Linked DNA regions of Bombyx mori. The protein of the gene in region 2 interacts with the protein of the main gene of each other region in a pairwise test. Links are inferred from orthologs where the notes say so. Each region holds a gene or a part of one and is shown on either strand. Other genes may lie near its edges.

Evidence for each region.
Region 1: the proteins of timeless (region 2) and cry1 interact in a two-hybrid assay, tested with the Drosophila melanogaster proteins (5 studies listed by BioGRID). The link is inferred for Bombyx mori from reciprocal best matches to the Drosophila melanogaster genes tim and cry.
Region 3: the proteins of timeless (region 2) and Per interact in a two-hybrid assay, tested with the Drosophila melanogaster proteins (5 studies listed by BioGRID). The link is inferred for Bombyx mori from reciprocal best matches to the Drosophila melanogaster genes tim and per.

Annotation. Positions count from the first base shown.
Region 1 is NC_085123.1:13,776,075-13,779,735, reverse strand, and holds part of cry1 (cryptochrome 1), read right to left. Parts: intron 1,627-3,661; 5' UTR 1,592-1,626; coding exon 1,462-1,591; intron 696-1,461; coding exon 549-695; intron 1-548. UniProt on the Drosophila melanogaster protein: Blue light-dependent regulator that is the input of the circadian feedback loop. Has no photolyase activity for cyclobutane pyrimidine dimers or 6-4 photoproducts.
Region 2 is NC_085110.1:8,701,032-8,704,692, reverse strand, and holds part of timeless, read right to left. Parts: intron 291-3,661; coding exon 92-290; intron 1-91. UniProt on the Drosophila melanogaster protein: Required for the production of circadian rhythms. The biological cycle depends on the rhythmic formation and nuclear localization of the TIM-PER complex. Light induces the degradation of TIM, which promotes elimination of PER.
Region 3 is NC_085107.1:12,512,470-12,516,130, forward strand, and holds part of Per (period), read right to left. Parts: intron 2,328-3,661; coding exon 2,079-2,327; 3' UTR 1-2,078. UniProt on the Drosophila melanogaster protein: Essential for biological clock functions. Determines the period length of circadian and ultradian rhythms; an increase in PER dosage leads to shortened circadian rhythms and a decrease leads to lengthened circadian rhythms.

The DNA.
Region 1 (3,661 bases), on a different chromosome or scaffold from region 2:
CCCCGGATTCACTTTCGGTGCTTTTAGGCCTCTCAAGTATCGGCCACCGTCCTCGTCGAACTCGTCGATCAGACGAAGAGTTCGACGAGCGAACTAACCCATAGACACAGCCCACTGAGTTTCTCGCCGGATCTCAATGGGTCGCGATTCCGATACGGTGGTAGATTCTGCGAAGCACTGCTCTTGCTAGGGTTAGTGTTAGCAAGTTCTCTCAGGTTGAGCCCGTAAGCTCAGTTACACGTCTGGGCATAGCTGGAATAGCATTTTGATTGTGGAAACATATTTGGTTATTGTTTTAGCTAAATTTTTTTTAAATATTGTATGTTTTGTATTGTACTGTTTGTTTCCCAAATAAATAAATAAATAAATAAATAGCCTCTTAAGCTACCAGCGAATAGGTAGGAAAAGAAAAAAGGAACACCAAATATTACTGATTTCTTCTACCTATGTTGGTAGTCTCGATGGGTCATACCAGCTTTGCCAAGTAGACAAGCTCACGGCGCTCAGCTTGCCTAAATATGTGACTGAGTTTTCGGTATGCCACTTACCAAATTCTTCCCAGAGTCTGCGGAACACAGCACTGGGTTTCCCTTTAACAAGGAGTAATCTTCCGCCGTACTTCTTGAATTGCTTGTCCAAATCATCTAACGCTTCTAGCAAGTACCGCATTCGGTTGTACCCGACCACTTTCGTTCCTATTGAATGTAAAATATAGTCAGTAATTTCTCAAATACTGGCTGTTAGAAGACCGCTTCCTAAAACGAAACGCCGCGCCCCCGCCGTGCCGCACCTGTGTGCGTGTAAAAGAAACGCCGCGCCCGGGCGTTCGTTGATCCGAGCATCAGCTGGTTTTAATTTTGTGTTTCATTGCTGGCTTTTCTTTGAGTAAAGTAATGTATATTTTATGAAACTATAGTTTCATTTAGCTATACTAAAATGATGGAGGGTAAATAATGCTATTAAAACATTTTTAAAAAATGTTTTTTTTTAATCAGGACCGATTTTTTTCCGTCCCATCCATCAAAGGTGTCATTAGGACTATCGTCTATCTTCGTTTTCGGAAGCGGTCTCATAACACCCAGTATATATTCCATTCATCCGGATATTAGAATGCATGTAAAACCGGGCGGGTAGTGGTGTTTCCATATAATTAAGCCCGATATGATATTTTATACGTTATCAATTAAGAGTACAAGACTAGTAAAATACAAAGCGCCGACTGGTGGTAGGACCTCGTGTAAGTCCACACAGGTAGGTACCACCACCCCGCCTATTTTCTGTCGTGAAAGGTACAATGCGTTTCGGTTTGAAGGGTGGGGCAGCCGTTGTAACTATACCTTAGAACCTTATATCTTAAGGTGGGTGGCGCATTTACGTTGTAGATGTCTATCGGCTCCAGTAACAATTTAACATCAGATGAGCTCGTCGACCCGTCTAAGCAATAAAAAAATAGAAACTCACCAGCAGTTTCCCCGTCAAAAATGAAAATGGGAAAGAAAGGGCCGCTCGTTTCTTCCAACGCCGAATGAAGAGACGGATTGTCGTGGAGACGCAGCCCGTGACGGAACCACAGAACGCTACCGCCAAGCATCTTTAGTATCCCCTTACAATTATTCGTTTAGAAATCTGCAAAGAAGATATCACCCATACAAATTTACAAATTCTCCGAGATTCTCCTCTCAGGTCTTATAATTAACAAGTGATTTATGCGTATTTGCCGCTAGTGATGTTAACAATGAAAATATATCGCTGAGTGATTATTGAGCACTTATCAATGTGTGATTGCGTGCTTATGCAAAAAACCCGGTCATCGTTTTCATCGAACCCGTCGCTTGCGTCGGAGGGCTCGGCGAATAAATTAACCCAGACACAGCCCACTGAGTTCCTCGCCGGATCTTCTCAGTGGTTCGCGTTTCCGATCCGGTGGTAGATTCTGCGAAGCACGACTCTTGCTAGGGTTCGTGTTAGCAACGTCATCAGGTTTGAGCCCCGTGAGCTCACCTAGTAATTCGGCGAATCTAGAATAATCCCTTGAGGTTACTAGAATAGATAGGAAAAAAAAATGCAAAATTTTTACATGAATTGAAATCATTCTAGTTCATTCTTAACGTGGACTGCTGTTTTTATGTATCAGCACAGTCATAATACAAATTCGATCAAAAACAAAATCAATTTCGTTAAGTATATACATCGAATATTTCGGAGGACAAATAATATTTTTTAAAACTTATCCGACTGCGAGTAACAAGACAGAAAATTTCCAATTGAAATTCGATCGTTTTATTAAGAAGCCGTTCGTATTGAGGTCGTTTCGTTTGTGACGTAGCTATAATTATGTACATACCAATAGCTTACACTTACAGGAATTATAATAACGGTGTTGTAAATCTATAATATCGATCTGTTTATTTACGCAATAACGAAGCAGTTACTGAGTACTGAGTAAATCGGCATGACTTTTTGGTACTTTTTGTCACGAAAAAAACAACACTTTTTTAAATCGATAAAGTTGGGCTGATTTCGATGGAATTTTCATCACATCTTGAGATTGGCTAGCAGGCCAGGAGATCCTGTTATTTTTTATAGCGATCGGATCGAAGTCAAATAAAAATCGGCAAATCTGACCGGGCTTGGCTAATACTCTATAGAGACGCTAAAAATCATCAAATCAAATCATAGAATTCGCCATGGTAATTTGCTTAACACTATAATGTACTTATTTTATCTTAAAGACGCCTAGATTTACGAGGACAAAGCCGCGCTTAATTAAAGATCGAGAAAATATGATAACCGGCCTATATAGTTTACTCGAAGAAGCCTTTTAAAACGAACGTGCAAATTGTGAAGAAACAAAACCAATAGTTGCGGTCTGTCATTAAACGTATCGAGCCACACGTGATTCTATAAAATTACCGCATTACATACCTTGTTGATGTTAGATAAGAAATGTTTTATAAACACTTGGCTCACTTACAAAACAATATTATAACTAACAGTCACGATCTTGTGAAAAATGTTATATTAAACATTTTCAATTAACTGATAAGTCGGATTACTAGGCTGCACTAAAAGTATCGGGAATGGAATATTTCCACTGTTCCTGTCATATTAAAATCTTTTTAATTGAAAACTCCTTGGTTTTAAAAATCGAATACCATTTATTTATTTAAAAAAAAGATTCTCGGTCTTGTCACGAGGTTTTGTCAAACTTGTTTAGTCGTTGAGAAAATGGAATTGACTCGAGAAAATTCAAGAGCGATGATTTATTATGACTTTCGAAGTGGTTTAACACAAAAACAGTGTGTTGACCGGATGATTTCTGCATTTGGTGATGAAGCCCCATCCAAAACCACAATTTATCGCTGGTTTGCTGAGTTTCAACGTGGACGTGTCAAGCTCAGTGATGATCCCCGTCAAGGTCGTCCAAAAACTGCAGTCACCCAAGAAAACGTTGATGCTGTGCGTAAGCTGATTGAGGAAGATCGACATGTGACATACCGCGAAATTCAGGCAACTTTAGACATTGGCATGAGTCAAATACAAATAATCTTACATGAACAATTAGGTGTAAAAAAAATGTTTTCCCGATGGATAACGCATTCGCTCTGTGAAGAGCAAAAAGCGGCTCGCGTTACTTGGTGCGTCAGAACTCTCGAAAGAT
Region 2 (3,661 bases):
GTAAAATTGCTATATGTTGTGAACATGTTCCTTTTGTGTAAGAACAAGTTAGTTCGTGGAAAAATGATGAAATATGACCATAAAAACTTACATCGCAAATTTCGAATTCCGATTTCCAAATCGAAGTGAACGTCTTAAGTATCTTAGGTTGGAACAACGTTATCAGGCTTTCTAGTTCGCCTCCCGCGTGGTGCATTACCGTGAAGATACAGTCGTTCACAAACTCTCCGTTACTGGCGTAATCCTCTAGCAGCAACCCGTATTGGTACATTATTTCGGGCGTAGCGAATCTATAGACGGTTCAAAATTATCAGTTTGTAGATAGCTTATGATACTGAGGTAATTTACGGCAACTGAAGTTTTTATTTTATTGCATAGATAGATGGATGAGCTCACAGCCCACCTGGTGTTAAGTGGTTACTGGAGCCCATAGACATCTACAACGTTAATGCGCCACCCACCTTAAGATATAAGTTCTAAGGTCTCAGTTTTTACAGTAAAACAGCTGCCCCACCCTTCAAACTGAAATGCATTACTGCTTTACGGCTAAAATAGACAAGGTGGTTGTAATCTAACCGCGCGGACCCACAAAACGTCCTACCACCAGTAAAAATCCTGGTAAATATCAGTAAATATAAAGATCGTGCTAAGAACACGTTAAATAATAAATAAATAATACTATACAATAATTAATTAAATACTGGGTGAGTTTATATAAAAAAAATATCGAATTTATTTTTTGTTTCTTTTCAGGTGACTAAGAGTGATAGTTAGTTGTCTTTACTAATTTAAGATGATTCTTTATCACTTTTAAATATGTTTTTATACTACTTTAAATTCTTCCCACATTACGTTTCGCACTTATCACGAAATGGTACATGAAGATATTAGAGATCTCTTAGTACTTTTATGGTTGGATTCGTGGTATGAGTTGTCAATAACTTCAACAATGCTATTTCTCATAATAGATAAAATTATAAAGTACCAAAAAATATATATTTTTTCGGTGAAGTCGCTAATAGTGCTTCCTTATCCATACAGTTCAACACAATGTTATGGAATGATATGTTTTGTGAGACCTTGATAAGCTTTGCCCTTGGGGAAACATAGCAGTCAAATCACGGAGCCCAAGTAGAGTAACCATAAATTATGCTAAATCAAACAAAATATTAGACTTTAATTAACTATTAATTAGGCAACCAATTAATTGTGATTGGCAGTGCTCCACGTCAGTCTTAGGTAACTTTATTGGAAAAGCATGTTTCCGCTTATTATAAAAATTCACCCATTATACCAATACAGAATGTGTACGTTTAATAAAGTAACTAGCTTTCCTTTGCTTGCGTGGAGTGAAAAGAACTGATAAAAAATATATTATTTCTTTGTATCCCTAACTATATACAAAAAAATTGGTCTAAAATAGTACATGACCAAACGTCATGGAAACATAAAAAATCGACCTAGGTAATTTTATTTTTGTGTCAGTTCCAACATCTAACGATATAAATTTTTCCAGGAACCTATAAATGACGATAACTTAATTGGGTTCCAAATTTGTTTATTTTATCGACAAGTGAAAACTAAATGGGAACTGGTTAAGTAGTAAGTAGTAGCGAACAAACAAACCGATTGAAAATAATTCTATTATGGTTTATGTTCTATTAATCGTCTTTAATTACCCTTTCTATTATTTTTTTACTTATCTTCAATGTACAGGCACACTATACTTAGTCTGGCCATAAATACTGTTTTTTTTTTTTTTTTTTTTTTTTTCTTTTTGGACCCAACACCAAGTGTTATTTGCCACTTTCAAAATAAAGGTTAGGAAGCAAAAAGCAAATCAGAAAATATAAGTTATATAAGGTTTAGGCAGGAAAATTGGATTAGGATTAATATAATTAGGAAGAATAAATAATATATATAATTATAATTTTAGTTTAAAACTGTTGAGGAATAAGATAATAATTTTATAAATAACTGGGTCTACTGTATGTAATAAATAAGGTACAGATATAGGGAAAGGAATACTAAGTGATGATAAAGAACTATATAGAAGTGAATGATCAAAAAGGGGACATGAAAGAATAATGTGATTTAAATCGCCAATGTCCGCACCGCATTCACACTTATTGCTATCCAGCACTCCGATCGTCGCTAGATGAGCCGGACTACATGTGTGGCCTAATCTCATCCGTATCAAACTGGAAGTCTCATGGCGTTTAAAATTATATTTGTAGAACCATGGTTTGGAAGGAATGGTTGGTTGTACCCTTCGGTAATATTTCGCTTTATCGCCATTATACCACTGTGCACTCCAAGCATTATTCAAATATGTTTTAGGGAGGCTAACTAAATCATGACTATAATTTTTGAAACAATAAATATCACCACAATTGATAGCCTCGTTTGCAATTCCATCAACTATTTCATTTCCTTTAATTCCGCAATGGCTAGGTATCCATACAAATGATACTGTAAGATTTTGATCCATACATCTCATTAACAATTTTCTGCAGTCTAAGAGAATAGGGTAAATAGGTTGAGATTTAAAAGGAAATTTTGCAAGAGCCTGTAAAGCACTCTTTGAATCGGTTAGTATTAATGTTTTCTTTATTTTAAATATCAAAATGTATTCTATGGCCTTGTATATTCCAAAACATTCACCAGTGAACACTGATGTTTCAGATGGTAATTTTATCTTTTCAACTATTTTTGATTGCGAATGATAGACTCCTACACCAACACAACCTTGAGGGTGTTTAGAAGCATCTGTATATATATGGTTATAGTCATTCCAATCTTGGTCTATTACGAAATTAAAGTTAGTATTTGGTTGCGGTTGGTACTTAGAAACACCCATGTCAAGATGAATATCCGGCTTTAAAATCAATGCCTTATAGTTTACACAAAATAGACGGAAAATATGAGAGTGATGAGTTGGAGTTTGAATAGACAAATATTTTCTATAGCTAATTATTAAACATGGTAACCGTTTATGTTTCCAAAATGAAGAGGATTCTATGAGCTCATTTAGAGTTTTAAGTTTGGTAATAATGTGATTATTTTGGATTTGTAGGGATTTGAAAACGAATTTATCCGATAAATATTGACGTCTCAAATGAAGAGGAGGATCAACACATTCTACCTGTAATGCTGTAACAGGACTAGATTTCATGGCTCCAGTGATAATTCGGAGTGCTTTAGACTGTATAGAGTCTAGTTTTTTGAAAGCATTCACATCCCCTGGTTGAAGTAAAAAAGTACCATAATCTAAAACTGATCTTACTATGGCATTATATAAAAGTTTTAAATTGAATGGGTGGGCACCCCACCATACACCGGCAAGAGAACGCAAGATATTCATATTACTCAAACACTTGTTTGTAATGTAATTACAATGTTGAATTCCATTCAATTTTGAATCTAAAATTAAACCTAAAAATTTAACATGACTATTTACAGAAATTAATTCATTCTCATACAATATATTAATTGGAGGAAGAGAACGTTTTCTAGAGAATACAACAATAGAACTTTTGGAGGCAGAAAGGGAAAGTCCATTATTATCTAACCAAGATTTAAGAGTTAGAAATGAATTCCTAAGGGATAAGCAAGCCTTATGTATGTCTTTATTGCAAGTGTACATAAGGAGGTCATCAGC
Region 3 (3,661 bases), on a different chromosome or scaffold from region 2:
CATAAAACACATGTAGGCCGAGTTTGTTTATTCTTAATGCTCCAGTTAGGATCGGTGGTAAAATTAAGAATTACTAATAAAAAATGCATAATAAAAACAACAACAATTAAAAAAAAATTTTTGAGTTATTTTACGCAGGACGTTAACCCGTAAACAGGATATAAAAAATAAAATAGGACGCATCAAAACAAAAACAATAAAAGGATTAATCGTTAAGCACTTTGACATCTCGACTAAATAGGGCATTTACTGTATTTATTACCTTTAGAAATAAACATTAAAAATAAAAAACAAAAAAAGCACACTAAGTAAATAAAATTTGAACACAATATGTATGTAAAATGAATATATAAAGTTGGAAACGCATCCGCAATTTATTATTTATGTGTCAACGAATGAAAGCGCCATCTATCGTTATTTGATGGTTTTCTAACAGAAAGGTACCTTTGTGTGCCAGAAATAACTGCAACGTGTTTTATCCCAATAGAATAAACGATTTAGGAGCGCACAAAGCACAAACAAAGAGAAATACAAACAGTAATTATCTTTTGTTTCGTCTACCTATATTATACAGCTGTCTCAAGAATACAAGTGCGAATGAAGTTTAAAATGCTCCTAAACAGAGAAACAAATCTCGACTGAAAACAAACATGGCAATTACATTATTTCACCTGTCAATTTTAATAGAATTCATTATTGATTGAATTAAGATTTTATAAACACCCATTATAACTATTCTTAAGATATATATACAGAGATATATATATTTAAGGTCTGCTTGCCTATTGTCTCTAACAGGTATATTTATAAAATGTATATACATAGACATAACATATATATATTATTAATATATTATTTATCACAGTTAAAACCGGTGTTGTGTATTTAAAGCAAAATTTTCATAAAATATTTTTCAAACTGAATGAGCAAATTTAGTGAGAAACCTATAATATACATAATTAATTACAGCTATTTATATTAATGTAGACATTAAAATGCAGCGAATTATATCGCAGAAATGTTCTAATTTACATCAACACATAGAATATTTAAAGACAAGAAAATCGAGTCTGCATTCATGTTGCAACTCCAAAGCGTCTACAAACATTTTTTACAAATCAAACTGTGTCCCTACAAACATTTAATGTAATTAAATTACACAAAGGCGCATACGCGTTTCATAATACGTGTTTTCCTTTGAATCGATCATAAAATCGATTTAGATATGATCCAGAGGAGTATATTAAAAAGATAGACATCAAAGAGGTTGATATCAAAAACCCTTTAAAAAAGTCATGTTCGTGGCCAGTTTGCACGCTATACCACAGACAAAGGATAAACAAGACAAGCCATGCACTAACGTTGACAATCGTAAAGATGCATTGCAAGTGCTAGTCGCATATTATTCGTGGTTCAAAACCGACGCTAGATCAAATCGGGATCAGAGGCCTGCAAGCCTCCGAGGGTCGAGAAGAAAAATAATACAGCACTTAATAGCTTGAGTACAAAAAGATATATCAAGTTTTAGGAGACCGCTGTAAATAAGCATTTGTGCGCCGCCCTGCGCCCGGGCGTTCTCGTTGATGATGATATTAATTTATCCCTAATGGGAAAGGCAAAGGACTTTAGTCCATACAGCCAGGTCTTCTTCTTGGTAATAATTGGAGAATTTTGGCAGTTTTAAAGGCGGAAGCCACGTCTTCATTGTTGGGCGTTCGTTGATCAGAGCATCAGCTGTTTTTGATTTTATGTTTCATTGCTGGGTTTTTTTTTTGTAAAGTACTTAATGTATTTTTAATGAAACTAACGTTTCATTTAGCTGCACTAATATGATGGAGCGTAAATATATAAATATAATATTAACAAAACGCTTTAAAAATATGATATTTTTTTTAAATCATGATCTATTTTTTTCCGTCCTATCATCTAAGGTGTCATTTGTACTATCGTCTGTCTTCGTTTTCGGAAGCGATTTCCTAACACCCAGTATAATCATTGCAATATATAATAATTGCAAAAAAGTAATGTCGTAATTCTTTTGTACCTCGACAACACGAAGTGGTAGAAATACTGTTCGACTAGGACTCGGACTGATTGGCTGTCGGTATCTCTTGTATCTCTTCAGAAGAAGGAGGTGGGAAGGGAGCGTTCTCTTCATATATCATAACCAATTTGCTGTATTCCCGTTTCCTCTTGGACGAGGTTGTTGTCTCTTCACCGGAACTGCTGGAACTGGTGATACCCTCCTCGAGGGTGAGTCGCGCGGCGACACCTTCCAACTGAAGGTCCAGGTACAGCTGACCAAGTTGCTCGTTCACTAGTGACGGCTGGAATACAGGTTGGTTTACAATTACCCACTAATAGAGTAAGATCCCAGGGCCCCCAGACGTCACCTATTTTCTAACGAACAAAATGTGGCCGATTGCGTAGTGTTAGTATGTACTAAGAATGCATGCCTACCTGCTAGCGTGCTTAGACGGCTAATATAGGTTTTAAAATAGTTGTCTGGTGGACATATTATTATATAAAAATCAGCTTTCAGAATTTACGTGAAGTTATTTTGGGAGCTTTAAAGCGTCTGCAAAGCAATGCGGCCGACGGAAAGTGTCCTCGGAGTATTGGCGACATACTTTTAAGGACATTGGCCAAAATATACGTAAAAATCAGCTTTCAGAAAATACGTGAAGTAGATCATGATTTTATGTATCCTAAGTAACTGATATTTTTTTTTTTTATTGCCCTTGTAGGCAGACGAGCATACGGCCCACCTGATGGTGAGTGGTTACCGTCGCCCATGGACTTCAGCAATGCCAGGGGCAGAGCCAAGCCGCTGCCTACCGCTTAATACTCTCCACAAGCCTCTTTTAAAGAAGGACATATCATAGCGCTCGGGAAACACCGTGGAGGGGAGCTCATTCCATAGCCGGATGGTACGTGGCAAAAAATACCTCTGGAAACGCCCTGTCGATGACCGCAGTGGCTCCAGGTAGTATGGATGAACTCAACTCCGGTGGCGGGCGGTGCGATGGTAAAAACGAGATGCCGGTATCATCTCGAACAATTCCTCAGAGCACTCCCCATGGAACATTCGGTACAAAATACAAAGGAAACCGAAGTCCCTCCGCAGACCCAAAGGTTCCAAACGATCCGCGAGAATGGGATTATCGACGATTCGAACGGCCCTCCTCTGTATGGAGTCAAATGGAAGAAGCTGGTATTTGGGAGCCCCGGCCCAGAGATGGGAGCAGTACTCCACGCGAGGCCGGAATTGTGCTTTATAAAGCAAAAGCCTTTGTCCAGGCGTGAAGTACCCCTTCGCTCTGTTGAGGACTCCCAGCATTTTGGACGCCAACTTGGCTTTGCCTTCCAAATGACTCCGAAATTGGACATCACTCGAAATGTCGACCCCAAGTATCCCGATACTCGCGGAAGGTTGCAGGGATACTCCTTGGAATTGCGGCGCCATGACAAAGGGGTCCTTCTTCGCAGTGAACGCGCAAACTTGTGTCTTCAACGGGTTGAATTTAACTAAGTTCGATTCACCCCACTCGGAGACTCGCCCCAGAGAGTTCTCCACTTCAGACACAAGTTTTGATCGTCTCTCTTGCACCACGCTCCGAGAAAGACTCTGATGGCCGATATATCGCGCATCCCCCGTGCC